Oryzias latipes: one gene and its partners. The main gene of each other region encodes a partner of the protein of the gene in region 3 in a complex. Links are inferred from orthologs where the notes say so. Each region holds a gene or a part of one and is shown on either strand. Other genes may lie near its edges.

The links.
Region 1: rbm48 (region 3) and bud13 share a complex: the UniProt entries of both Homo sapiens proteins name them as parts of the minor spliceosome. The link is inferred for Oryzias latipes from reciprocal best matches to the Homo sapiens genes RBM48 and BUD13.
Region 2: rbm48 (region 3) and snrpf share a complex: the UniProt entries of both Homo sapiens proteins name them as parts of the minor spliceosome. The link is inferred for Oryzias latipes from reciprocal best matches to the Homo sapiens genes RBM48 and SNRPF.
Region 4: rbm48 (region 3) and snrpd1 share a complex: the UniProt entries of both Homo sapiens proteins name them as parts of the minor spliceosome. The link is inferred for Oryzias latipes from reciprocal best matches to the Homo sapiens genes RBM48 and SNRPD1.
Region 5: rbm48 (region 3) and armc7 share a complex: the UniProt entries of both Homo sapiens proteins name them as parts of the minor spliceosome. The link is inferred for Oryzias latipes from reciprocal best matches to the Homo sapiens genes RBM48 and ARMC7.
Region 6: rbm48 (region 3) and snrpd3 share a complex: the UniProt entries of both Homo sapiens proteins name them as parts of the minor spliceosome. The link is inferred for Oryzias latipes from reciprocal best matches to the Homo sapiens genes RBM48 and SNRPD3.
Region 7: rbm48 (region 3) and ppil2 share a complex: the UniProt entries of both Homo sapiens proteins name them as parts of the minor spliceosome. The link is inferred for Oryzias latipes from reciprocal best matches to the Homo sapiens genes RBM48 and PPIL2.

What each region holds. Positions count from the first base shown.
Region 1 is NC_019872.2:13,070,036-13,074,030, reverse strand, and holds the start of bud13 (BUD13 homolog), read left to right. Parts: upstream 1-1,192; 5' UTR 1,193-1,221; coding exon 1,222-1,358; intron 1,359-1,499; coding exon 1,500-1,587; intron 1,588-1,988; coding exon 1,989-2,073; intron 2,074-2,150; coding exon 2,151-2,549; intron 2,550-2,852; coding exon 2,853-3,157; intron 3,158-3,241; coding exon 3,242-3,350; intron 3,351-3,502; coding exon 3,503-3,641; intron 3,642-3,722; coding exon 3,723-3,904; intron 3,905-3,995. UniProt on the Homo sapiens protein: Involved in pre-mRNA splicing as component of the activated spliceosome. As a component of the minor spliceosome, involved in the splicing of U12-type introns in pre-mRNAs.
Region 2 is NC_019881.2:20,375,317-20,379,438, forward strand, and holds the start of snrpf (small nuclear ribonucleoprotein F), read right to left. Parts: upstream 2,809-4,122; 5' UTR 2,674-2,808; coding exon 2,671-2,673; intron 2,075-2,670; coding exon 1,949-2,074; intron 13-1,948; coding exon 1-12. UniProt on the Homo sapiens protein: Plays a role in pre-mRNA splicing as a core component of the spliceosomal U1, U2, U4 and U5 small nuclear ribonucleoproteins (snRNPs), the building blocks of the spliceosome.
Region 3 is NC_019869.2:21,761,729-21,765,595, reverse strand, and holds rbm48 (RNA-binding protein 48), read right to left. Parts: upstream 2,581-3,867; 5' UTR 2,566-2,580; coding exon 2,404-2,565; intron 1,943-2,403; coding exon 1,752-1,942; intron 1,670-1,751; coding exon 1,524-1,669; intron 1,308-1,523; coding exon 772-1,307; intron 766-771; exon of another isoform or gene 681-765; coding exon 618-680; 3' UTR 528-617; downstream 1-527. Other genes in the region: efcab1 (EF-hand calcium-binding domain-containing protein 1), read left to right, coding at 1-115, 240-344, 417-467; pex1 (peroxisome biogenesis factor 1), read left to right, coding at 2,775-2,882, 3,522-3,668, 3,768-3,851. UniProt on the Homo sapiens protein: As a component of the minor spliceosome, involved in the splicing of U12-type introns in pre-mRNAs.
Region 4 is NC_019869.2:22,965,480-22,969,801, forward strand, and holds snrpd1 (small nuclear ribonucleoprotein Sm D1), read right to left. Parts: upstream 2,828-4,322; 5' UTR 2,696-2,827; coding exon 2,682-2,695; intron 1,278-2,681; coding exon 1,201-1,277; intron 1,126-1,200; coding exon 934-1,125; intron 728-933; coding exon 651-727; 3' UTR 79-650; downstream 1-78. UniProt on the Homo sapiens protein: Plays a role in pre-mRNA splicing as a core component of the spliceosomal U1, U2, U4 and U5 small nuclear ribonucleoproteins (snRNPs), the building blocks of the spliceosome.
Region 5 is NC_019877.2:19,372,988-19,377,209, reverse strand, and holds armc7 (armadillo repeat-containing protein 7), read right to left. Parts: upstream 2,817-4,222; 5' UTR 2,570-2,816; coding exon 2,479-2,569; intron 1,731-2,478; coding exon 1,587-1,730; intron 1,504-1,586; coding exon 1,160-1,503; 3' UTR 513-1,159; downstream 1-512. UniProt on the Homo sapiens protein: As a component of the minor spliceosome, involved in the splicing of U12-type introns in pre-mRNAs.
Region 6 is NC_019870.2:16,128,877-16,133,052, forward strand, and holds the start of snrpd3 (small nuclear ribonucleoprotein Sm D3), read right to left. Parts: upstream 2,833-4,176; 5' UTR 2,703-2,832; intron 1,916-2,702; 5' UTR 1,895-1,915; coding exon 1,769-1,894; intron 317-1,768; coding exon 124-316; intron 1-123. UniProt on the Homo sapiens protein: Plays a role in pre-mRNA splicing as a core component of the spliceosomal U1, U2, U4 and U5 small nuclear ribonucleoproteins (snRNPs), the building blocks of the spliceosome.
Region 7 is NC_019867.2:622,291-625,826, reverse strand, and holds part of ppil2 (peptidyl-prolyl cis-trans isomerase-like 2), read right to left. Parts: intron 3,223-3,536; coding exon 3,147-3,222; intron 2,571-3,146; coding exon 2,464-2,570; intron 2,190-2,463; coding exon 2,100-2,189; intron 1,032-2,099; coding exon 998-1,031; intron 370-997; coding exon 252-369; intron 131-251; coding exon 74-130; intron 3-73; coding exon 1-2. UniProt on the Homo sapiens protein: Has a ubiquitin-protein ligase activity acting as an E3 ubiquitin protein ligase or as an ubiquitin-ubiquitin ligase promoting elongation of ubiquitin chains on substrates.

The DNA of each region.
Region 1 (3,995 bases), on a different chromosome or scaffold from region 3:
TTTCGCTTCTGTCACAGAATAGATCTCTCTTCCTTCTGTAAAAAACACTGGTAAATGTTTCCACTGTAGACGATTTAAATGTTTAGGAGCTGAGAGCTGTGAGTACTGAATGTAAATTAACCATTAGTAGAAATGAAAGTGCAGCTTTTTCGTCGAGGGAGACAGTCTAATGGCAGACTAAGAGATGCAGTTGCTGACTTATTAATGAGGTATTATTGATTTTATGTTTTCTTTTCTTTTACATTAAAAAGCACTAATAGTTTTTGTGGCCTTTTCCTCACTGCAAAAGCAGCAAATTGATTGTGTTCTTGTTTGCTTGTTAATAAAAGAAGAGCTCTGTGAATTTGCTTGTAATCATTTCATTTATGATTGAACAAATATAATTGTTTTGTGTGTTTGTTTGTTTTTGTTGTTTTTTTTAAATCATAAATCAAAGAACACTGTTGACAGATAAATACCAGTATTTGGAAATGTCACATTTTCTCAATGGAGCCTAAATGCATTGTCATTCATGGAAATCATACTAGACCAGCAGCTGGTTATTACTGTCTTAGATAAACAATAACCCATGACATTTAATCTGTCTCTACATATTGGACATGACATGTAACAGGGACAATATTTAGGTCTTTTTGTCTCTGTTATAAAAAGCAAGTAGTGACGGCCTATATTTTTGAAAAAGTTTTAGTGTAAAAAAAATGATCGACAAATAAAAAAATAAGAACAAGAATTGAAATCGTATGCAAAGAAGAGTAAAGACTTTTACAATTCAAAAACATTGCTCTCCTGTCTTTCTAGGCATCGGTGTATGACCGACTAAATTTGTGGGTCAATTAGGGAAATCAGGCAATTTTAGCCTTTTTGGTGACAGTCATTATTTGTATGCCAGTCACTGGGTCCCACCACAGACACAGTCTTGCAGCAGATTGTGGCCCAGTAGTTATCATTTTTAACTTCTTTGGAGTCAACTTTATCTTCAATGTATTTATTTATGCATAACAGTAACTTTTTTGTTATAATAATAATAATAATAATAATAATAATAATAATAATAATAATAATAATAATAATAACAATAATAACAATAATAATAATAATAATAATAATAATAATAATAATAATAATAATAATAATAATAATAATAATAATACAGAAACGCGTCTTCTTCCTCGTCGTCTACATTGACCCTTGACGCGACCCGTAGTTTCCCACAATACAAAGATGGCAGCGGTCGGTGGTGGAACCGGACCCGAGCTTTCTAAAGCTGAGTACTTAAAGCGGTATTTATCAGCTGACGACAACCATGGTGCATCTAAAGGAAAAGGCAAGAAGAAACGAAAAAAGCTTCCTGAAACAAGGTGAGTACCGAAATACTGCGCCGTTTGGCTTTCTGTTAGCATCCAAGCTAGTTTCCTTATGCTAAGCTATTTTTGATTTGGAACTTTGTTTCTATGAGTTTAATCGTTTTTATTTTGTGTTACTTCGTTGTTTTTATCTAGACTTAAAATAGTAGACGATGATATTGATTGGAGACAAATGGTCCAACAGCAGCCGGATGTCGAAGAGGATGAAGAGGAAGCTCCGGTGGTGAGTTAGCTAGCAGCCTTGCGTTAGCATTTCCCCCGCAGTACGGTCTACTATGTTTAACTTTTACACGCATGAAAGTCTGATGGCGATATTTGATTTGATGATAATAAAATGTATGTCTTTCTTTTTTGTTAACATTATTGAAATGTAAATCCAGACGTAACACAGGAATTTCATCTGACGTGAGATTGAATTGATCTGCTTTAATGCAGGATAATCGATGCAAGATAGATTTGACACATTGGTTTGAATGAAATATGTGGGAAACTTGCATTGTGTGTGAAGCAGTCAACACAGATGTTTGAACAGAGTAAATAATGATTTGATTTGGTCTATGTTATGTACATTAAAGTTTTAAAGCCAAGGAAACCTAAATTTTGTACTTTGATTTACCTTCTCAGATTGCAGAGTTCATCGATGAGCGGCCAGAAGAGGTGAAACAGATGGAGGCCTTTAGGACCAGTAACAGATGGAAAATAGTTGGGGGTAACTATAAAAGCAGTATATAAATTTGGCTTCTTTTAAATTATGTTGTTTTTCATATTAACTGTGTTGTTCTGTAGCGGATGAAGACGAAGACAAAACAATTGACGAAGAAAATGAGCAGGAGGAGCCTTTAACATCTAAAAAAAGTCGGCATGACTCACCAGAGCTGTCATCGAAAAGTGGGAGACATGGTTCCCCTTTCAAAAAACCAAGACACGACTCTCCAGACATTTCTCCTCCTAGGAGAGGACGCCATGACTCTCCGGATAAATCCCCTCCCAGGAGAGGACGCCATGACTCTCCGGATAAATCCCCTCCCAGGAGAGGACGCCATGACTCTCCGGATAAATCTCCTCCTAGGAGAGGACGCCATGACTCTCCGGATAAATCTCCTCCTAGCAGAGGACGCCATGACTCTCCCAGCAAGTCTCCTTCAAGGCAACATTTAAGGAAGTCTGGGAAAGTTAAAAGTAAAGGTGAGTTTTATTTTACAGTTAAGATTTTCTTTCTTGCTTTTATACAGAACAATGCTCATTTTGCACAAGTCACTGAAAAAGCTGAAAACGGCATACCAATGCCATTTAAGCATTGAATAAGCTTAAAGCTGGAACCTCTTAGATTTTTGGGTTATAGTAGTTACTAAAAATATCAATAGTTATATTGACACAATAAAATGTTTATGTAAAACACATTTATTTTTTTCTATTTCATATTAGGATTACTAGTTTTGCTCTCTGCACTCTAATATATATAGTGCAAACATTCTCTTTGATTCTCAGAGTCTTCTCCCACTAGAAGGAAGCCCAGCTCATCGTTACACGGTAAACCAAGGTCGCCAGATGATCGGCGGTCTCCTTTAGCTCATAAGACTAAGGTTAGGCTGGATTCAGACTCCGATCAATCTCCTCCACGGAAAAAGCAATCGAAGCGAGAAGCTTCCGACTCTGACCAGTCTCCCCCTCGGAGACGCTCCAGAACAAGGCAGAGATCCGATTCCGACCAGTCTCCACCAAGAAAGCACTCGAGGAGTGGAAAGGACTCGGATGGAGATCTGTCACCACCACGGAGACCTGGCCAGTCTCATGTGAGGGATCTGCGCTGTTCAGGGATTCGTGTGAAACCTAATTTGCAGCACAAACCCCATCTAATATTTTTGTGTGTTTTTCAGGACCACAGGATGCTTTCCGGAGGAAAGGCTGGTTTGGTATCTGTGGAGATTCTAAGGGAAGAGCAAAAGGAAAACCGACGCAGAGAAAAAAAGAATCAACCTCTTGAAGGTTGGCCTTGCTTTTGTTTTTCAGTTTTACTTTTAAAAAAAAAGAGAGTTTGAAACAACCCTTTTCTTATCGTATAACTTTAGACTTTCTATATTTCTGAAGTACCGGTATATGAAAGTGTTTTTATACTATTTATACTATTTACGCATCAGATGAATCTCGTAATGCGGAGACGGTCTTCCGAGACAAAAGTGGCAAAAGGAGGGATTTGACCTCAGAAAGGGAGGAGCAGAAGAGAAAAGCAGGAGAAAAGGCTGCAAAAGATGAAAAATATGCCCAGTGGGGTAAAGGGTAAATCCACAAAACCATACCAAGTCACTGAAAATGCTACTTCCACCACATGTAAGAAGACAAGTTATTGTTTGTGTTTAGGCTGGCTCAGAATCAGATGGAGCAGCAGAAGCTGGAGGACGCCCTGCTGGAAGCCCAGAAGCCCTTGGCCCGTCACCGTGACGACGAAGATCTGGACCGCATGTTGAGGGAGCAGGAGAGGGACGGGGATCCCATGGCTGCCATGCTTCGGCGGAAAAAGGAAAAAAGCTCAAAAACACAAGGTTTGAAACATTCTACAAGTTTTTGTACTTTTTTTTTTTTTTTTACTCTTCTGATGGAAAAATTTGGGCATTAGTACTTCAAGTACAGCAA
Region 2 (4,122 bases), on a different chromosome or scaffold from region 3:
CGTGTTTGCCAGCTGTCAGACATCATACAGAAAAGTCAAAACCTCAAACCTTCTCTTCATTTTTCTACCAAATTAAAGATTTGTTAGATTTTACGTTCATTCTGTGGCGCCCTCTGCTGGATTAAACAGTAAACTACTCATAACGTTTAGTTTAAAGATCAGCTCTGATCATCTTAAGATCTAGTGTCAAAGCCTTCCCAGTGGTTCTAATTATGATTACCCAGTTTGTTGTTGTGGCGAAACTGTTGGTACAGAGCAACCCCGCCCCCCTTTCCCTCGGAGCAGGGAGCTTGTTGCCCGCCCACCATATTTTCAACGTCACAAATACGATCTTAATCAAAAGGCATTTTGTCTTCTGCTCCTGATTCATTCTTCATACGTGTTCTCCATCATGAGAAAGATGCCACAAGAATATTAAAAAAAAAAAAGATCTTATGGATTTCTTTGCTGTTTCCCAAATAACCAAATGCAAATTTTCTGTTCTTTTCTACAAATGTTAAAAGATTAACCTTTAATTCCAGCACCCAAGTTTTCATCTAAATACTTATATTTTTCTGTCATTTTTTAACTAATATTTAACCTGAGAAAATTCACTCGACAAAGAATCTACTTTGGAATTTCAGGAAATTAAACATTTTAAAAACAAGTCCAGATATAAGACTTTTTTCTGAAGAGCTTAGAAAAGCGTAAGAAAAGATGTTACTGTTATGGTGGCGTGTCACAGTTTGGTAAAAACCCATTCCATCTGAGGATTTCTGCAACAATCATGTACTTTTCCTGCCGTTTATCACTTTTTTTCTACAAACTAAACAAGTAAAATGTTTATGGTAATTTCCTCTGAGTAAAACACAACAAATGTATTTCTTTTAAAATCTCATAATAAAAGATGACAAAGTTAAACAACAACCTTCATCTAAACAACAAGAGTTTCTTAGCAAAGGTCAAATTTCATGAAATCTAAATATACAAAGAATTATGTAAAATATGGAGAAGCAACACCGGTTTGGTGTGAGAGCTTTAAGGGTCTGAAATCTCAATTTTTTAAACAGATTTCTTTTATTCTACATGTGCTGCTATCTAAACAATAGAACAAAATGGTTTGATATGTTTTGGTAAGAAAAGTTGTTCCAGATTTAGAAATGCTAGCCAACTTTCATGCAGTATCAGGCCGCTGCAGCGACTGACTTACAGACTTAATTGCTCAGTGAAGGACAAAAAAGCTAAATTTGGAACATTTTTAGTTGTGATTACTACGGATAACCCTGATCAAAAAATGAGCATCACAGATAAATACTTAAAAAAAATAAGTGTTTAGAGTTGTTTTGACTTATTTACTGTTTAAATAACAATGTGAGACAACATTTATGATTTGGTTTGAATGACTTCATTGGTTCAGAGAAATGTTTTGTTATTTGTGCCCAGAATAATCTTATTGTGAAAAACCAGAAGTGTTTTCATTTAGAAACTGTATTGAGTTTGTTTTTGACTCTTGGATGAAGCGGAAAGTTCCTGATCAATAATTGCTGAACAGGATCGTTTAGCAAACTCAAAAAAGCCTCCGTCATCTTTGCAGAGGCTGTCACTATGCGACAGGAGCCATTTGACCTTTTTTTAAACGACTTTTTTTTATTAAAATGTTATATGATAGGATAGTTAGAATTTTTGAAAAAAATTGTAAACTGGTACAAGAAAAGCTGCTAATTGGTTTTCCACCAACAGTCGTCTAAGTTAATGCTCAGAATAGAAGACTGAAAACACTGTTGGTCATTTAGAAACATGTATAATAATAACAAACTGAGTACGATAAAAACACTCTTGACTAATTTAAAATAGATTGAATAAATAATTGCATTTACTTTTGAGTAGTTTGCCTCTGTGTTGCAGCTGCATTTTAAAATCCCAGAATAAACCCTGATATAGTTGTGAATGAAGCTAGAGTTGCTTTTACCTGCATGTTCATGTATCCGTCCACAGACACCAGGTAGCCTTTGTACTCCATTCCCCACTTCAGCTTCACCATCACTGGTTTCCCTGTCAGGCCGTTCAGGAAAGGCTTTGGGTTGAGGGGCAAACTCTGCGGCAGAGGGGATTGAAACCTTACATCAAGTCTGCAAACATGACGCTTTTCCCTATGAGATATTTAGAACTTTAAGTATGCGGGTTATTCATGTTATGGACAGTCTCCACGTCTGATTTCTTTACACCACCAATCATCAACAGGAGCGACTGAAGAACCAATCTGGACTGCATTAAAAAAATAAATTGAATAATTGGGAAACAGTACATAAATTCGGTTTTGGAGCAGTTTAATTATTCAAATGACCTATATACTTCTATTAATCTGTTGTATAATGTTCGACCACACTACTACCTGCAGAGGAACGTCATAGTTTTGTGTTGTTCCGACGGACGTTCATTTTCTGATACGGCAACACGTTACCCAAAACAAACAACACTTTAGTAAAAGCTCACTTGAATATCTAACCGTTTCATTTTTAAAGTTTTGTTTTTAGTGTAAGTTTGTTTTCCCCTACGAGCTGTGTAAACCAGTTATGAATGGGATGCTAACATGGCTAGCATAAACGAGCTAACTCTCTTAAATTCTTTGTTTTAACAAACTTCAATAAACCCAAAGGCCGTGTGAAATTACATATTTGAAGAGTTACTCACCATTTTGCTCGATTAAGTTTAGACCCGATTAACAGTAAATTAGAAGTTTATTATGTCTTCGTCACAAAAACGTTTTAGCTTCACAAACTAGAAGCACGCTTTGCCGCCGACAGGAAACGGAAGTGGCATCGAGCTTTTCGCCGCGCCTCACGTCGCCCCCTGGCGTTCTGGATGTATTAGTGCAACAAAAAGACTCGGACTATATTCTGATCACATTCCAGTGCATCTGCTTTATAAAGTCATAATAAAATAATCATAAATAAAATCAGTTTACAAAATGACACAACATCATTCACACAATTAGTAAACAACAAAAAATAAACAAACTATGAAAAAAAACATAAATAAACTATTTTATAACAATGAGACAAGACCAAATGTCAAAAAATAAATAAATAAGTGAAATTAAAAATGATTTATAATCAGATAATATAAAACCCAATGGAATTATAGAATTGTTGTCATCAGCTCCAGGCTGCTGACAACATGTGCTGACGAACTCTCACATTCTGCTGTTTATTTGAAAGGCTTGCATTACCGAGCTTTAATGTAAGAAAATGATTTTAGTTTTGTAAATGTTTCATTTGAGCCTGGAGCTGGAGAAGATGCCAAAACTGTGGATGACATCTCACCATACAGGCACTCACACTCTGTATCAACGCCAGGTAGATTTCACGTTTGCTACAGAGGAATCATGGTGCGAGGCGGTTACCAAGGAGGCAATGGCTAAGTAAGTAAGCTGAGAAGTGTTTATGACATATAGATTGTTGGGAAAACAGTGCGAGAATCAATGTGTGAGTTGGTGGGTCTCATCTTCAGAAGATAGATAGATAGATAGATAGATAGATAGATAGATAGATAGATAGATAGATAGATAGATAGATAGATAGATAGATAGATAGATAGATAGATAGATAGATAGATAGATAGATAGATAGATAGATAGATAGATAGATAGATAGATAGATAGATAGATAGATAGATAGATAGATAGATAGATAGATAGATAGATAGATAGATAGATAGATAGATAGATAGATAGATAGATAGATAGATAGATAGATAGATAGATAGATAGATAGATAGGGTTGGTTTCCCTTTTGGCTTTTCCCATCAGGGGTCGCCACAGCGAACGAGTCGCATGGTAAACTTGGCAATGTTTTACGCCGGATGCCCTTCCTGACGCAACCTTCTCAAAGCAACCGGGCTTGGGACCGGCACAGAAGTAGAGAAGGGAACAGGGAGCAGCCCGGAGTCGAACCCTGGTTTCACGGACGGAAGGCGCCGCAAACCAGCACGAGCTAAACCAGCTCCCTATATATCTATATATATATATATATAAAATTTAAAAAAACGCCCCTCTCACCCTCCGTGGGTGCTTTCTCCTCCAAGCTCGGGTCCTCTACCAGAGGCCCGGGAGCTTGAGGGTCCTGCGCAGTATCTTAGCTGTTC
Region 3 (3,867 bases):
TCTCTTGCTGAAGGACAGTTTCCATCTGCGGCTTGAAGAGGAAGGCAGAGAAGACGACTATCAAGATGAACAGGATGAGATCAACGAACTGATGGAAATTGTCCTCAAAAAAATGGTGAGATGTTGCCCTCCCATCTGCCTTTGTCACATTTGGATCGATGTTGATTGTAAGAATTTTGTCTTGATGTGTGCAGATTTATTTTGGTAACATGCCAACATTGCTTCCTGTGATTCCACAGGACCACGACAAAGACGGCAGGCTGTCTTTTCAAGATTTTGAGAAGTCTGTAAAAAAGGAGGAGCTACTCCTTGAAGCCTTTGGAAGCTGCCTGCCCAATTTCAGGGTAATCACAACCAAAAGTTGCTGAGCTTAAAAATATTGTAAGGATCTATTTAACTTAAATCTTTCTTTTTAGACAAAGAAGAAGTTTGAGCAGCAAGTACTGGAAAAGCAGCAAGATGAATAATAAAATATGAAGTGCAAGCGGTGTTCAACTTTGAGACTTTCATGAAAGAAAAAGCCAAAATGTTTTTCTTAAAGTACAATTTTATTTTAAGTTGAGCCTTTCAACGTTAGTTTTGATAAATATGGACAGTCGTCACTAAAACAGAATGGATCATATCCGACGGCGTGGCTTAACCTTCTTCTCCGCTGGTTTGAGGTCTGGGACCGATGTCACCTAGGAATGAATGAAAAGAATGAGACTGAAATGCACCAATATGGCATCATGTCAAGCTCTAATTCTCATTAAAAAAAAAATAAAAGACTACCTGCTTCATTGTGCCCCTGATCAGATTTACTGTTGTGTTTAGCGACTGATCATTCATGTCCAGCTTATGTGGTTCTGGTAGTTTTGGTCCAATCAAAGACGGTTCTCCAGAATCAGGCACTGGCTGTTTTGTGGCCTCCTCCATTTTGCGGCGTTTGTTCTTTTCCAAATGTGCAGTTCTTGGAACAAGCTTGACGGAAGAATCTGGGTTGGAGGCCAATTTTTTTTCGGAATTAGGGTCTTTACTGAAAGAGCTAAAGTTCTGGACTTTCTGCTGTTTTACGTCAGGAGGCACTGCGTCATGTAAAGTCCCCATTTGATCTTCTGTTGGTTCGTTCCCACGATAATCCTGATGAAAGTATTCCTGCGGGGGTAAAGGCAGTAGAGGAAATCCGGAACAATGGCTGAAGCTTGAAGTCTCGCCTGTTTTGTCACTATTGAAGATTGGATTATTTGTAGCAAAAACTCTGCTTGATGTGGGAACGCTTTCTGAAGACGTAGATTCCATGTGTACCGCATCCGCTACTCTTTCTTTTGCTGTATAAACATGAAACAGATAAATGACACTCATCAAATTCTTTATCTATACTTTAAACTTACAAAACAACAAAAAACATTTGATTTCAGATAAAAATACACAAAAAAAATTTTTTAATCACAGTTTTTTTTCATTGAACTTTTAAAAAACAATTACCTAAGAAAAAAAAGATTCAGTGCTTTTCAACACCGTATATCGTCAAAATGCGATAATACCTCTACTCCGAGCCACTTTCAGAACATAACTTCTCCTGTCCTGCAGCTTTAACTTGGTGTCTTCCACAGACTCGTACTCCGGGACGTAACACACATGCAGCACGCCGCCATAGAAACTCTTCTCATCCATGTTACGTTTCGCCGCTCTGGAACATCAAATATCAACCTGAATGACATATTTTTCAGCATTTCTGGTTTAGGGCAGTACAGTTAAGGTGCCCGCCATACCTAGCACTTGTCAGTTTTTGAAACTTGACCAGGTAGACTTCTGTGAACTCCTCAGCAGGATACTCGTCCAGCGGTCTGTATTCCTCCACTGTTCCATAAAGAGCACACAACTGGATCAGCTCCTCCATCACTCCAATAGCGGGGACTCCCTGGATCATCACATAACGGGACTCTAAATTTATTGTGTAGACCTGGCAGATACAAAGGCATGGTTATTAGTATATGTGAGGCTGTTGACGTGACCAATAAAAATCAATTAACTTAAAGACATAATCATCAGATCTGATGTACTTTCCTGCAACTCAGAAATCCAGTCTACTGTATTAGAAATTTGATTTTTATGGTTTATTAATTACAATTTTTTCGAAATGACTCAAACTTTTTACCATGTCTTTTATTTAATTTTATTTATTTATTTTTGCCAAAACGACAGTTTTATTTGTTTTTTTAAGACCTGCCGTTGGTCTTTTATTTATCACTTGCTGTGTGACTACAATTTATACTTTTTTCTTCCAGTTAAAAAAAAAGATTTTAAAATTTTCTCTTACATTCTTAAATGTAAAAATAAAACCAACTTACACATAATTATTAGCTCGTCGCTTGCGTCAACACAGACCGTCTTTGCTACAAACATTAGAAACGTTTTTCTTACCTTGACTGCTTTAGCTCTCCTTCCATCTCTATATTTGGGTCTAGAAAAACATGCGTTGTGTTGTTCGTGATGTTTGTAGACTTCTGGGACCTTCCAACAACCAGGTTTACTGTTGACATTTGCCGCCATGTTTGCTGAAACGCGTTTCCGCTTTGGTGGCATTTCAAAACAAGAGTTCATTCCGTTGTGCAGAGCACTCAACGTGTAGTGTTGACGACGTGGCAGTCTTATTTTGAAATGATCGATTCCATCGACAATCGACTGTTTTGTCTGGATCAGTTCTCTCATTCATCGAAATGTTTGTTGCACTTTGGCCGTTAGCGCACCAGCATGTTAAGCACTTTAAATGCTAAAATAGCGATGTAAACGTCATGTTTAGCAACCAGGGAATTCAACCAGTATGTGTTGTTTTTAACAACACTAAAAACTGCTTTATTCAACTCTCTTCAAAGCTGATATCGCACCTTTCTCTGAATGAGGTAAAGTATTAGCTAATTACTTAACATCGCTTCAGTTTTGTTGCATAAAGTTTACTGAATAATGACTGCTTTTGTGTTTTACACATTGCTGGTTTGTTTCTCTGACATTACAAGGGGACCTTTGGTTGCATTTAAGGTTTTAGTTTTTCTTAATTAAAACTTATAACAAAAGCAGAGCATTTTTTTATTATCACGTGTACTTAATTAGTATTAGGAAGTAATGCAAGGCAACAAAAAATGAATTGTTGGTAAAAATAGAAATTGGGCATCAAATACTGTCCTCATTCAGGGGTCTTTAGTCTAAAGGAAACTGCATTGTTTTGATTTTTAACACATTAACTCCTAGAAATAGTTTAATTTAGAAAAGGTTGATTATTATAATAACTAATGTGATCATCTCAATATTTCTATATTTTGCTACCACACCTGTGGAATATTTTTGCAATTTTTTAATTTAATTCTTCTGCTGAGCATAAAATCTGAAATGTATGTAATGATACAAAATGTACAAGAATAAAAACTAATAAAGGTATCACAAGTATCTAACATTCATAAAGTTGGAATCATAATTTCGACATCCGCTTTAAGAGACCATTCTGTGTCTTATTTCATCGTCTCTCTTTGGCCGGTCCGTTTTAGAATCAGGCTTTGGAGCTGTCTTGGGACGGCGGGTCGACAGTGTTCCTTAGCTGGTGTCCCATCAGAGCCTCCTTAGGAGCAGACAGCCACAGAGTGGAGTTGTCTCGGCAGCTTGGAGAAAAGCTCGGTTTGACTGATGGAGAACAGGTAAAGACCTTGGTTTCTTCCTTTAGGTCATCAACTGGGACGAACACTGCCTGTGCAACAGTCTCTTAACATTGGTCTGACATTGAGTGGTTTTCACAGTGTTTTCTCAGACCATGCCATCAAGTCTCTTCGCTGAATCAGGTGTTTGTGGAGCCACTGTCATCTGATGACTGGGAGATTTTGGTGAGTGAAATATTGA
Region 4 (4,322 bases), about 1.2 Mb from region 3:
ATATTAAATTTCAGAAAAATCCAAACAGAGATCTTCAATAACAAACATAAGTTTTTACAATGATGTCAAAATTCAAAGTGGATTTTCTTTATTTTATTGGAAACTTATGTGGGTTAAGAGCCAGCCCATCTAAGTATTGGACAAAAGGTTTTTACATTTGCAGTCATCAACATCCACACCATCCACCAGAGGTGGATCAGCAGTATCTGGAACATCATCAACAATAAGTTGAGATGTAATCAGTTCCAGAAACTGTGAAAAAAAACCTTATCAACCTATTTCAATCACTTATAGGAAAAGTGAAAACTAATCAAGCCAATTAAAGAGCCAAATATTACAAAGAGAAAAAAAAAGATTTATTCTTCTTTGATGCCAGTAGAACAGCTACATTTTCAGCCAACTTTGCCAAAGACACAAGAAGGTATAAAAAAAGCAAAAAACAGATGACATTTTTACCCAGTTTAAATGCTGCTCAGACATTTTATTCAAGATGGTACAAATTATGAATCAACAGCATCCAAAACCCCCTCGCGGTCTTAAACAACCCACGAGTATAAAAAAGAAAAACAACCCTAAACTTACACTTAGATTCACTTTGCGTCCACCGCGCAGTACAATTAAAAGCTGTACAAACAGTTGGGGCTCTGAAATCATCTCCGTGGTCCACCTCGCCCTCGTCCTCTTCCTCTGCCACGGCCCCGTCCTCTGCCTCGCCCCCTACCAGCAACTGAGAACAAGAAAGGCCAGATTCTTTCACCATACTCGTGAAAAAAAAAAGTTTTAATCAGCAGAACAAAACATTTCTCAAAGAAATAAACAGCAGATTTACACACCCATGATGAATATAAATACTGTTGAGGGATTTCTTATCGCAGAAAAATCCTTCTCAACTTAATACAATTTTCCAGGTAAGAATGTGCCCAAATCTCCCACCTGCTTCTCTCTTCTTGGACTTGATCTTTGGTTCAATGTCGACCAGCAAGGTGTCCAGTGGAAGACTGTCTGGCAGGATGAAGTAGCGAATGTTGTTGCCTCGGATACTCAGGGACTCCAGCTGAGTGGGTTCCCTGTTCTTTAGGGTCATTTTCACCGCCTTCAAGTGTGTGTTCATGCTTACATCAACACCTATTAAAAAGAAGAAGAAGAGGATTTTAAAAATGATTTAGTTCATTTATTCGTCTCTAAAGTGTTTGCTCTCACCTGTGATGGTGCCATGGACCTGAGTGCCATTCTTCAGTTCAATGGTAACGGTCTCATGACTGAGCTTCATCAAAAACCTGTGTGGACACGGGAGAGTAGCATACATTTACATTTACTTAACCTTTAAGAGTTGTTTTACTGCACTATACTTTACCAAACATACCATTTTGTAATCAAAAAGCAGTACCAGTATAATGTATCTACACTTCAGGGAAAGAATCATTTTCGCAAAAAAAAAAAAAACATGATTTATTGTCATCCCACATGAAACAAAAAAGGTTCACGTGTTTTATTCTTACTCAAAAGTGTATTTTTCAAAAACCTAGAATTGGCACATTCATTTTGGTTTTCTGAATCCAAAAGGCACTTTCATTTAAACGTCAATGTTTTAAAGTGACAATACCATGAAAAAAAATACACTAATAACATGCTGACCTTTAAGCAGAACTAGAACAGGAAAATGTTAATCAATAATTGATTGGTGGACTTTAACAAATTAAAAGCATCATTTTTATGTCTGTTCATATTCACAAAATACAAATGAAATAAACAAAATGTCAAACATAAAAAAAACGAGGGAAATAAACATACTGTGATATGCACCATTTCATACAAAAACTGCATTTGATCCCATACATACTGGATAAAATGGAAGACTTTAAACTCCATTTTCAGATTCACATTTTTTAATGTTTTGTATGAACATTTATGCGGACTTTTTGTTAGAAATAATTGTTGGTAACGTTTTCTGTTAATCATAAAAATATTTTGATAAATTAAATACAATAAAAAACCGCTTTATTAGAAGGTTGGCACCATTGCTGTAGAAGACTTTAATGACTAGATCCATCTTGAATGATCAATTAGCCAACTTACTGCTTTGCACAAAGAAGACGTCTCTCTCTCACAAACATTAGACAGCATTTTTGTACAACACATAAGATTTAACGTATAAAATTGTACAAAATACCCCCCCCCCCCTTTTTGAATGTATTTTTTTTTTAGTATCTAAACAAAACTCGTGTTAGCTCTTAGCTTGTTAGCTTCGGTGGATTGATACTGTTGTGTAAACTGAAAACAAAACATTTGTCTCTTAAGTTGTGGAAATTAAAAACATCCAAAAATAAATACAATTAAATAATGATAAAGCACTTTGAGGAAACGGAAACAACATCTAATAAATTAACCTCCTTTAGTACGATAGTTTTAATAATGCGGGGGGAAATTTGCAAAACCATAAATGATAACGAATCAGCCTCGATCTTTTACAAATATTGCTAAAACAAGCAGTTTAATCCTTGATTAAATAGTTAGCTCTAATGATATGTTTATATGTATTTTTTGAATGAAAACCCAGCAGCCTTGTTCCCGCCTCTCCACACAGTTCATTTGTCTATCTGAACCCATCCGGCCACACAGCCTTTATTTCATCATCCTATCTTAAACCAGTCGACACATCTACAGACCATGCAGCAAATTACCTGACTAGTTTCATGACGAACAGTAGAGAAAAGATCCTCCACCGACGAGAAAAATTACAGCGATCGAGTGAAATCACAGGCCGCTGATGTACCACCAACGTTTGTGTCGCGTTGATATGACGTCAGAAAGAGGCCACCGCTCACCGTCAATGTTGTCTTACCGCCGCCTGGTGGTGAGATGAAGAACAGTCAGTGGAAAGACAAAAATGAGTTGTTTTCTCTTACTCATTGGGTTGGTGGCATCTAATATTCCTTTACTGTCTTTATTTAATTACTTACCAATTACTTTAATTATTAACTGTTTTTCTATGTGTTTTATTGTTTTTTCCATCTAATGCTGTTTTTTTCCCCTCTCAATCTACTCAATTTTAAATGTTATGTTAATGTAAGCCCTTTGGCACCCTGATGCCATTGTATGGTGCTAAAAAATAAAGTACCAGTCATTTATTCATAGATTTCTATTTATGTATTTGGCATTTAAAATTATTAATGGAAATGCCATTTAACAGAGAAACTTTTTTCTTAAATTTTGTTCTTATTGGCCCTTTTTTTGAAGCAACAAAAACAAAACATCTCTGAGAGAACTGCTTCAACTACGAATACTGTTCTGTTTTTATTTATGATCAAAAAATTGTCATAGGAATTTATTCAGGCATTGTTTGCAGTACCGTGAAAAAAGAGAACACAGCACACTGTGGTTCACATTCAGCCAATCATAATTGACCCGATTTGGTAGAAGTAGGCTTTGTGATTGGGTGTCTTCATGTTGGCATCACATGTACATAAAAAGGCAAAGACAGTAAAGACAGAAAAGAAAAAAAAATAACGATTTACTTCCTGATTGATTTCATTTTTTTACCTTTTCACCAACTTGCTCGTATTTAAGGTTATCGATTGATAGAGCTGTTACTTCCAGTACTTGATCAATTTTCAATACGTAACTGTATCCTTTACATCCTTACAAAATACACAAAAAGCTGGGAACCATTGATCTAGGAAAGAAGACAAAAAGAACAAAGGAGCAAACTTTCAGATCTTTTTATTGAGAGTAAACTTTGCATTGATATTTCATTTAGAGTTTTGGCCAAACAGCAATACTTTTTATTTATTGAGACAAGCTGGGAATGTATCAAGTGAAACCTAAAGAAAGTGCAAATTGTTGTATTTAAAAAAAAAGAAAAAAGAAGGTATTTGTGGAGGGAGGATTTAATCAAACAGTGTGGAGAACAAATGCCACCACAACATTCACCATCAGTCCAAACGTGAAAATGCTGAAAAACCCCCAAACATGTCCTCTGCATGCTGCCTGATGAGTGTAGCACGACTGCAAAAAAACAAAAATACAAACTTCCCATTCAGGGATAATAAATGCTGTATAATAAAAAAGAAAAACACACACCAGTACAGTTCATTGAATGAAATCATGGGCAACACATCTGGCTTCAAACTCAAACCACCACCCATTTACTACAGTAGAAGAAATTCAACACCAACTTAACTCCCTTAAATTAATATTCCTCTCATTCCAGCACCAAATCGCCTCCTACCTAAAGGCAGTGATTCAGCCCCCTGTAAACATTGTGGGTGAGTATTAAGATGTGAAGATCTACAACGTTGAAGGACTGTTAGAAGTCAAAGGTC
Region 5 (4,222 bases), on a different chromosome or scaffold from region 3:
GAAGTATTGGATCAAATAAATCCCTTTGTGCATTTGACCAATCGGATGGAGCCCTTTTATGTTAGATGCTCGCCTCATAGGTAGACGAGGGTCATTTGGAGTGTAAATAATTGAAACTATTTACATTTTACGAAACCCTTGTGATATCTTAGATGACCCCACCCTTACATCGACGTGTTCTCCCTACCATGACAAATGTGGATAAAGGTGGAAAGATGTCATGTAATCCATTGACACCAGTGAAGATCACAAATCATTGAAGAAAAAAGGTTTAGCGCACTGTCTAGTGGGTCTAGATGACCCAACTCCCAACGTTAAAATGTCTAGGATAGCACAAGGGTTAACCCTTGTTGTTGTAAAATTAAAATGCAGCTGTTTTTGCTATTTGTTGATATGTAGCAAGTATATTGTCATCGCAATATTGATCACCAATGTTGCAAATTTTCCTCATATCATGCCGCCCAAGTCAGGACTAAAGGGAGGAGAGCCAAACACTCACACGAAGGCAGAACTTCTGTAGATTTTTTTTATTTCAATAAAAGACACCTGAATTATCCAGACTAAGAAAGCCACAAACTTAGGCTTCCATGAGGTTTGGTATTTCTGCTGATTAGTGACAGTTGGTAGAAACGTATTCCTCCCATGAAAGCAGGATAACTTGGGTTTCTATATGTCTTTTTTTTTTAAATCTAATACGACTACAGACAAACTTTCCCTCATTTTTCCTTTGATGAGTATCTGACCTTTTCAGTTGGTGTCCAACATTTGAAAGGAATTATTTTCTGTCTAGTAAAACACATCTTTACCATTTTTCCATGAGAACAAATATACTCATTTTGCTGGAAGCCTGTTTTGAGCAAATTTCAAATTACTTTTATAAATGTACTTGTGCTTAAAAACATACAAAAACCATCTTAATATTCAGATTCTGATCCAGTGAAGACATGAGTCCTGTGCAAACTCCAGCTGCAAATGAGAGGAGGTGCAAGACCTGGACAAGCAGCTTAATTTTCCTCTCTTCATAACCAACTTTAGGGTGGATTTTGTTCAAAGGAAATCCTCCAGATCGGTTCAACATCTGCTGAAAACACCAGAAATTAAACAATCATAAAACCAAAACGGTCACTGTTTGTTTCCACTTGACTGTGAAGCAAAGTCTTTAGTCTTTGGGTAGTGGGATCCCAACAGCCATCTGCTGTCCCTGCATCTGCTGCTCGGCCTGCCTGACCTGATCCTTGGTGCAGCAGTCCTGCAGGAACACAGCAGCTAGGTTGTGCAGCCGGGGACTCTCAGCAAGAGAGAAACGCAGCATGCACTGCAAGATGCCTGGCTCTGTGAGCTGAGATTGTGAAGCTGGAGTCACAAGGTTCATAAGGGTAGTAATTGCTGATAGCACTGTCTCCTCCCTCTGGTTTGACAGACAGTTTGTGATTAAGCTGATGCCGTCACTGTCCAGGATGAGGTCCCTGCAGTCTGGGTCCATACTGAGGTTACAGAGCCCACCTGAGAAAATTTAGACCAAAAAAAATGTTTTTCACTGCATTTATGGTACAAAAAAACCCAAATGATAATCTAAAAAGATTCACCCATTCCAAACTCAATAAAGTTCTCGTTCTTCTCAGTCAACATATCCAGAAACAGGTCGGTCACTTGCAGCTGTCGCAGATACTCTGTGTTCTTTGGGTCGTAAGCAAAGTTGGCGAGGTTTGCCAAAACCTGCTCCTTTGCCTCTAACGACAACAGAACATAAATAAAAAACACAGAATCAGATTCAAATTCAATTAAATTACATATACTGGACATTAATGACTGAAACGGGAACAAGGACCAAAAGCAAGATAAATTTAATCCACCAGAGGGCGCTTTTTTACACCTCAACATTAAAAATAAGACTAAAGACCTGCATTCCTAAAAAATTATTGACGGACAATAATATGTAGTTTGATCCTTTATATATTGCATATAAAAGGCTGCAAAAGTCTATCAGCATAAATCATTAAATGGCATTTGTTAAATTTTGGTTTTATTGATTTTTAAAAAACGTCATTATGCATTTTTAATTTAGTATTCAAACATGATCGTCAGAATTACTAAAGCATAATTATTTAAAAAAAAAAATCTTAAAAGATAAATGCATTGTTTTTTTCCTGAATAATCTGTCCTGTTTCTAAGCATTCAGATTTTAAAAATTAAATTTTTGTAGTTTATATATATATATATATAATAAAATAAATAAAAATAAAAAAATAATTATATATATATATATATATATATATATATATATATATATATATATATATATATATATATATATATATATATATATATATATAAAGTGACTATCATGGATTGATATAAGTAAGACATGCTTTCATTACAATGTTTATGCATTAACAATTTAATTTCAAAGAATTTGTTGTAAACTAGCAATAATTCTTAGTTTTTCTAAATGAATCTGCGAGCTATTTGTGTTTTTACCTTCACTGTCACTATCCTGAAACTCTGTGACAAGAGCCTGTAAATATTCAAACCGGTCAGAGGTTTCGGGTGAAAAGTTCCGTTTCATCATTCAGTATCTTATATTGTGTTTTTAAGAAGACAAACGCGCGATTAAAACAAAAAAATAAAATACATTTGAAATAGTATCCTCATTTATGCATTTGGTTTCAGTAGTTCGTTCATTTTGTCCGTCTTTCAAATACGTCCGGCTTAAATTAGAATTTGGACAGTGGTTCCGGGATATTGTTTCGTGACTCTTTTTTTTTCTTCTTCTGAAGACTGGATGAACTGTTAACGCAACAGAATAACAATTAAAAATGAAACCCAAAAGTAGAATTAAGCTGTTCTTACATAAAAAAGAGCTGTCAATTTATTTTATCACTTAAAACGTTGTGATTTTTAATAATTAGGCCTATAATGTTTCGGTAATAAATCACTTTGATTTAATTTAATTAAATGATTACTTTTTGTCATAGACGATAAAAGCAAATTACTTTACGAAATTCAATTCTCAAACGGAAGTCGGTACTTCTTTGTCGACATAGACGTCAGTGCTGGACCGGAAGTTGAGGCGCTCCAACGTCCCTTCAGCTAACTAACTCACGCGCAGGAAGGTCAGCTGAAAACAAACTCACGTTTCTGTTGCTGTTTGGATTCTATGCCGTGAACCTTCTGATTTAAAGTTCTGCAGCAATGAAGCCTCACAAGCTCTCTGCAGCTAAAAGGCTCACGAAACCTATTCTGTTCGGGAGCATCATTGTTGGACTTGCCACTGTTTACATAAACAGGTGATCTATTTTCTTATTTTGTATAAAACAATAGGAAAGTTATAACGCAAATATAGACTTTAGTCTATATATTCAGAATATTTTTTTATGTGTTTAACGTTGGAGATTGTTGTCCTTGCGTAATGACGCTGACGTTTGATTGTAATCAAGTTTAAGAAAAACACTGAAAACATGTCTGTACTGTCCTTAAGTACAAATTAACATTGGAGCCAAACCATAATTTCATTAACAGGAAATTTTGTCTTTAAATATCTTTAGTAATAGGAAAAATACAACTATTTTTATTTTGTAGCCCTTTTTATTTCCAAAGCAAGGCATCACAGACACATACTCTTTCTTTGCACCACAAAAAATACTAACATTTAATTATATAAGTGTAAGACTGCAGGTAACAGCATTTTTAATTTATAATTAGTAATCATTTGTAATGAGACACTAATGTTTTTAATTAGTAGATTATTTAGCATAATTTCAGTTTTTGACCAGTATCTTCTACAACCTGGAGTGCAATTACTATTTAAAATAAATTAAAGAAATCTAAATAAATGTCTTTGTAAAATATATCTTTAAAATAAGAATCTTTTTTGTAAAACATATTGTGTTATTGGAAGTGGGGGGCTTTTTCACTTCACAAATTTCTCTTTTCTACATTGGTGTCACGTTTTTGACACTTAGTGCAGCTGCTTTTATCAGATTACATTTTTTAAATTTTTTTTAAATTTTTTTGTGTGAAATCTGCTCTGGTTTAGTTGGTGTACTGCTGCAGAGATTCCTTTTCTAAAAAAAAGTTTTAAAAAGAATTTGAGCTGCAGATTGTGCTTTTCCAAACCAGGTTACTGTCTTAAAGAGAGCCCATTTTTGCATTTTGTGGTTTAAAATGCAGCTTATTTTTGTGTCCTGTGTTTGTATTTTTCTGTCTTGCAGACACAGGTTCT
Region 6 (4,176 bases), on a different chromosome or scaffold from region 3:
AGACAACAAATTCAGAAATAATTCAGTAAAAAAAAAAAAAAAACAGCATTCAGGAAGCAGGGTGTACCAAGAATAAGGAAAAGTGGACACACCATTTATCAGCATTGGTTAGGAACCACTCACCTTGTGCTTTCAGAATGGCCGCTTTGCCTCTTCCTGCTCCAGAACCCTGGTTCTTGTTCTTCATACTCTTTAACATTGGAGCGTTCTTTAACATGTCTGGTAAGATCAGAAAGCGGATCTTGCTGCCACGAATGTACACTTGTTCCAGCTGGGCAACCCGCCCGTCACGATAGGTTACTGTGATGTTGGACATCTGTTGGGACATAGAAATAAATGGTTCCGGTCTTAGATTCGTAAAATGGCTTGATACACGTTTACAGTGTTCAATGGAATGCAGGTTAACATTTTAAGTTATCTGTTAAACTTGGCAATGCAGTTCTCTATTTGAAAACACATTTGTAGATACTTCATTTAATCCCTTAAAATAATTTCTAACAACCTTTTTGATTTGTCATTTGATTAATAAGAAATCTACAATTATTAACAGAATATACGTTTTAGAATATTTAGCGTTTTGTTAAAGCCTTCACACTTATCTTTAGAGTACTTTTAAGACACACTGAGCTTTATCCACCAAAATTTCTGCTTTTAAATGAAATAAACAGATTTGGAGTCTATTAAACTTTTACTGCACTAATGAAGCTTGAAAAGACTATCAGCATTGACAGGATGTTTGGGAAATATATTTAGTTACAGTACTCAATACTTTAAGAAAAATGGCTTTAAATATTTCAAGGACAAATGTGCATATATGACCAGATAACTATACAGATTTTTTTAGGGGGGGGGGGTGAATTGGGTCAGTTAATAGAAAGAACACAACTTAAATTTACAAAATAAAATAAAATTGTTATTCCAGATTTGTTTGTTACAGATGTGCAACCAAAACTAGAGACCCAAAAAAAACAACAAAAAAACAAAGGTCATAAAGGCAACCTGTCCCAAAACTTTAAAATAATCCAACATAATTTCCTTTTTCCACACAGGGCCGTTTGGTTTCTTAGTGCTGTGTTTCTATTTACTTCCAACGGTAATGATAAATCATTTATGGTTTTTGTTTTTCCCTACAGGTCACTGACCTGATGCATATTAGTAAAAGGGAGTATGTTTTGTTGACTGTAAAAGCACCATTGATCTCATTGAGTAATTAAGTCACTACATCAATCAATCATACGTTACACACGTGTGGTTGGCTGAGATTTTGAGGGACAAAGAAACCGGGAGAGATTTTTCTTCGAAGAGGAGTAACCGATTTGTCTTTCGCTACAAACATGTTGAACAACTGTTTTTTAAAAAAAAAAAAGAAAGAAAGAAAGTATAACATGAGTTTGTCTCACCGCAATTGTTTTACTAAAATACTACATTCTCAACAAACCTACTCAAATAGTTCTACATCACCTGCTTGTTATAATTGGTAGATTCTAGACTTATTCCTGTGAAAGCAAAAAAAACAAATGTGCAAGTCTAAATAAGAGTTGGTGCAATAAACTGCATTAAAATACCTTTGGCATTTTTGTTTCCAAAAAGTATGTGAAATAAAAGGGGGGGGGGGCAGCCAACAATAAAATGTCCATTAAAAAAACATTCTTGTGTTCTTTACACATTTAAAATGTTCTTCTCAAGTGTGGTACAGTGAGTTGAACTCTAAATAGAAATTTACGGCATGCTTTTTTTTTTTGGGGGGGGGACGTTACTCCATACAAACCTGGCAGTTCATGTTGTCTTCAGCCTCGATCAGTTTGCCCCTGTAAACCTCTCCAGTGTTGGTTTCACAGGTCACAATGTGTCCCTCTGCTTCATGCAGGACCTTGATTGGTACGCCAATGGACATTTTGGAAACGGTCTTTCTAGGCTATTAAATTAAAAAAAAAGACAAAACATACGGTAAAGGGCACTGAAACATACAGTATTATCACAAAACCTGACGTACGGTATTGTCTTTGTTTACAGAAGGCTACTGAAAGTCTACAACATGCAATTCATTCATCCAATTTTATGATTATTATGTTTGCATGTGTCTGGCTTGGAAGTAATATTTACTGTTAGAACATACTTAAGACTTGTTTTGTGCTGTAAATAAGGTAATTTACACCCACAAAAAAAAACGTACAAAAAAGGCACTTAAGTATAACAATGTTTCCATTATCATTAGCTAAGCTACCTCGTTAGTGATTTATTTCTTGTACTGTTTATCAAGACGGTATTATTTCTACGTAGAGAAATCAAGTGCTGCAGAAAACTCTTCAGTTTTGGATTACACAGTTTAATCAGGTAAATGTTCGGGATTACTTTTAAAACGTAGTAACGCTAATGGCTAGCTTAGCTAGCCACGTTAGCTAACTAGCCACCAACTACTGGCCTCAAGCGAAACAAAACATTAATTAAAAACTGTGGGAAGTAAACCACCACAATATATTTAACGTTAATGCTTCACACCCAACATTGTTGGGACTCAAACGTGCAAATTATTTTAGACACAAGCTAAATATCAGGCATGGATGGAGCGATGGACATATTCGAAACTTAGCAAATGGGAGGCAATGTAGACAAAAAGCGATAATTCTGAATCACATTCACAGCTAAATACCAACCACAATATAATACTTGCTAGCTTTAGTAGCTAGGGTTTAAAGTCTTACTTCAACTCCCTTTGAATTCTTGAATTGTTGTTCTTTTTAGCGGCTCAGCAACGTGGGCTAGTCGTTGAGCTTGGCGTTTGAGCCTTTTTTCCGCTTACCCACAATGCACCAACAAAGCGTTTGTTTCCTGTGGCGCTTTTCGCCGTGCATTATGGGACATGTAGTTGATTCTGATTACCTAAACCAGGTGTGTTAGGTCAAACAGAATGTAGACTCACTTGAGTCAGCCAGTTACCAGAAAGATGGTTAAGGAGAAACAACAACAACAATAATAATAATAAGTGTTATTATTTTTTGTACTATTATTATTCTTTTTTAGTAGTATTGGAAGTAGTAGTAATAGTAAATAAAAACTAATTTTCATCAAAAGGCCTCAGAGAGGTCCAGGAATACCAATCATTATAGGACATTGGACTTTCAAACAAAAATAGAAATCATGAAACGTTAACAGATTAAAAATGTACACAATAAAAAATGACTTGTTTATTTGTCCTGAATTAGATTAACATGAATTTAATTTGATGATTACTCATTGGAAAAAATCAACTATAATGGAACACTGGATAGATATTTGTAAAAATATTTTATTGATTCCTTGCAGTGGTGCATGTTTTTTTTCCATAATCCTCCTCACTATGTTTTTTCTCTTTTCCTTATTTGTTTTATGTGAAAGATTTGAATCCCGAACACGTGTATAGCTGGCACATATGCTTGTCAAAACATCCCAGCAAGAAGAGATTATGAAAATGAAACGACTCAATCAATTCAAATGGATTTTTTTCATCGACCACAGAGAGCTATAAACATTTACTCTACATAGTTTTTGAATGAACAGACTTTACGTATCATATACATACCCTTGCGTGTTTATTTATGTGGACTAGTCTTTTTTACCACTTCAGTGAGACGCATAAACATTGCTTAATGCGGGGCTTTCTCACGCTGGAAGAGGTTTCTAATGAGGAAAGACAAAGCATAATGGGATAATAAAAGACATCACCAAATGAACCATCATTTGATTTCCATTGCAACAGGGTCATTGACTGGCGTCAGCAGACAGGCTACTCTGTAAACACCTGTACCTGTGCAGCGTGTGGTCATGTGTATCTACTTTACGTGTCCATGAGGGTTTCAGGCGTTTAATGCATGCTAACCTGACTCTGAACGTAGTTCCAGTCCAGCCATGAGCAGTGACATTTGCAGAGATCAAACAAGCACTTGTTTTGGGTGGATGCTAACAGGCCTGTTTACACTGATGCCTTTGAATCATGTCACTTAGATGTTGATCTGGGTTGTCAGCTTTTGTTGCCAGGCAATTATCCAATTGCTGATCAAGCAAGCAAAAGGATTTACTTAGAGGTAAACACTTTGTAGGGGAAAGTGCACACCTATAGATTGTACTCAGACTACATTCGTTTCCTCAGCTGTTGCAGACAGCCGTTACAACAAATAGCACGGATCAAAAGAAAGCTGT
Region 7 (3,536 bases), on a different chromosome or scaffold from region 3:
TTCTGCAGAGAAGACGACCAATCAGAGCAGCCCCAAAGCTGGATCTGTGGGAGATCAGCCTCTGGAAAGGTACCTTCCAAATATGGTGTGCTTCCTGTCCAGGTGGGGGCAGGACCGGAATGTGATGAAGCTGAGGAGGAGGAGGAGACGTTGAAGAAGATCTGCTCCAGGCTGCAGCCCAGAGAACATGAAGAACATAGATTCAGTTTCGTGTTTGGGTTTCCTCGGTTCCAGGGACCAAGGTTCCTTACAACTGAGACTTGTTGGTGTTCGGACCCGAGTTGGCCATGCTGAGGACCCCCCGGCCCGCGTGGGACAGGTTGGGCCGGAACTCGTCCTTGAAGGGTTTTCCCCAGAAGGATTCGCCACCTGAGCAGAACCGAACCCACAGAGACTTCAGAACCAAACCTGCCCTAAAGGAAGAGATCCAGCAGCCGTGTGCACGGACCACACAGGGTTCCAGCTAAGAAACATTATGGGATGTCCAGCTGGAGATGGAGCTTCCCTCTCTTTGTGGAGAGTTTTGTGCGTTTCTGCGGCAGCAACAGTCTCAGGTTTGGATCAATGAGGATCTTCATCTGATCCCAAATGCATTTTATACTAAAGACAACAGAAATACGTTTCCGTCTCATTAGAGACGAGCCTCCAGGAGAAGAGGAACGCTGGTCCTAGAACCCGCCGCCGCCGTTCAAAGAGACCAAGATGGGTGTCATGTGGTCGGGTCTCACACATATAGCGACAAACATGTGGCAGTCGTCGGCATAAGGTGGAAGTTCACCTTATGAAACAGCATTCCCAGTGGCAGCAAGTAGATAGAAGATAATGGGCCCGGTCCCCCCCCCACAGACAGACAGACTGCCCCCACCCCAAGTGCCCCTCGGTATCTTTGGCAGCCCTGAGTGCCTCTCTCAGGTCCCCACAGGTTCAGCATCTCTAAAGAGGACCTTCAGTCATTCAGAGCCGCTCCGCCACTGAAAGCGGTCCAAGCTCCGCCTACCTGTGCCGGTGCCGGTCGGGTCTCCTCCCTGGATCTGGAAAGAGAAAGGGTCAGCTTTAGAAGATGGAGATGCTGTGTTCCATCACCCGTTCTCTGGATGTGTGCAGAGCTCCTGCTCCACGTGGAGACGTTCAGGTCTGAGTGCAGAAAGGTTGACGGGTGGATCGTAGTGAAGGAGGAGCAGAGTCCATGTTCCTCCCCTCACCTACAGACTCTGGGTCGGACCAGGAGGAGATCCTGGATGCAAACGTCTGGAAGGGGGGAGGCAGTGGCTGCTCCTTAGAGGGAGGGTGAGGAGCTCAGCAAAGAGCCGCTGCTCAGGGAAACTCCCCCAGGAAGGAGACCCAGAGGAACCGTGTTCCTCAGCTTGCCTGGACTTTGGGGTTCCCTGACTGATCTGGAGAAAGGCTCTGGATGGAGGACTGGAGACCAGCGGTTAGCCTGCTGCCCCCCGACTCCTCATGAGGAGGAGGAGGACGGAGGGAGCTTGGAAAAGGAGCTGGACTTGATTTGGATCTGAACGGGTTTGGGTTGACGTTTCCTCTTTAATCAAAGTACCCAAATATGTGAATATCTATTGCAGCTTTTGATCAGCAGACGCTCCAAATATTCAAACCTTTGGGACCCGGCCTGTTCAGCAGAAGCAGACCTCCCCTCTAGGGCTGCACGATATGAGGAAAACTCGTGATATGCGATATTGGTGATTAAAATCGCGATAACGATATAATTTGCGGTATATAAACAAATAGCCAAACAACCAAAAACATCATTTCCATTTCACTGCAACAGTATAAAAATTATACTCCAAATGACCCTTGTCGACATAGGAGGCAAACATCAAACATAAAAGTGCTCATCTGATTGATCAAAAACGTAAACGGGTCCTTCTGATTGGTTAAATGCATAAAGGGATTACTTGCATTTGTTCACCATTTCAGGCTGCCATGAGTTTGTTTTTGCAAATTTGAGGTAACCATTTATTGCGATTTTTGCCGTCTTTTGCGGTATGCATGTTGCACAGCTTGATGTTGCGATGACGATAAATTTGCGGTATATTGTGCAGGCCTTCTCCCCTCATTTGCTAAAAGCGTCTCTTCCTCACCATGAAATTCCGGATGGACCTGTGAAAGGCGGTCCCGTCGTAGTAACCCTTTTTGCACAGACGGATGAAATTCTCTCCAGCTTTGGGAACCTGGTTTGGGGGGGGGGGGGGGGGGGGAGACAAACACTGACGGTCAGACACGAACACATTCCAGGTCTGATGCTGCACCACTTCCATCCTACACTCCCAAAAACCAGCCGAACGCTCCACGTCGTCATGACGACGGTATTTAAAAGAAAGGAAACTGTGTTTCTTGTTTTATGGTTCTGATGTTTTTAGTACCAACAGAGAAAAAAGATCAAATAAAAAACGACTACGGCATCAATAAAGGCTGCATGGGTTTAAACGCAGCGTCTGACGTCACCTTATCGCAGTGCAGCTCCAGGTTCAGGTCTCCCAGGTTGGTGTGCAGGCGGACGTAGCCTTTCTTCTTCACGTACTGGTACCGCACAGCATCATCGGCGATGGCGTCTGCCACAAAGACAACGGTAAAAAAACGAACACCTGAAACGTGCAGACAACAGCGACCGCTGCACACATGGGCCGCTCCAAAGGCCTCAGACATATTGGGGTTCAGTCGTTCCTCTCTGAGCAGATTGGGTTCAGACAGTGGAAACGCAGGGCGAACTGGATCTCAGTCCGATTGGAAATAACCGAGACCACCTCAAACGATGGGTCCCAGTGGACCCTGATCCTTCTGGATCAGGGTCCACTTTGGTGTATTCAGACTAGTTCTGGTTTACTTTACGTGAACCAAGTGCGTCCAGTCTGAATCCAGCCTTAGAGGAGCGTCAGGACTGGACCAGCCGGTTCTGCTTCAGAGAGAAATCCAGTGGACCCAAAAAACATTGCCTTATTAGAATTCATAGAAAGTCTAATGTACCGCCTCAGGATACAATGACATAAACAATAATAATAGCTTTTATTCCCTTTCATTTATCTTTTTAAAGTCAGTGAACACGGCTGCATCCCAGCAGAAGCAGCAGACAAAACCAGGTCAGCGGCTGACGTGCAGAGGAGAACCCACAGGAACAGATCCTAGCTTACCGGCTTCATGGATGGTTGAAGGAGTCATGGCTGTGGAGGTGAAGGAGGCGGAGACTCGGCCTGTTGAGTAGTGGGCCTGGACGGGGACACAGGCAAATGTGTCATGTTTACTTTCTGCATGGACTCAATGATTTCTAAACCAATAGACATGCTGTTCTCTCAAAGTACAGACGGAAAAATGCAGAAAAACAAAGAAGGAGAAGCTCACATCAAAACCCATCTGCTGTAAACAGATTTAGAACCTGTCAAAGACCGGCTTCCATCACAACAAAGAACAAACAGGCAAACAACAAACAAACTAACAACCACCAAACAACAAGCTAACAGGCAAACTACAAACAACCAAACAACAAGCTAACAGGCAAACAACAAGCTAACAGGCAAACAACA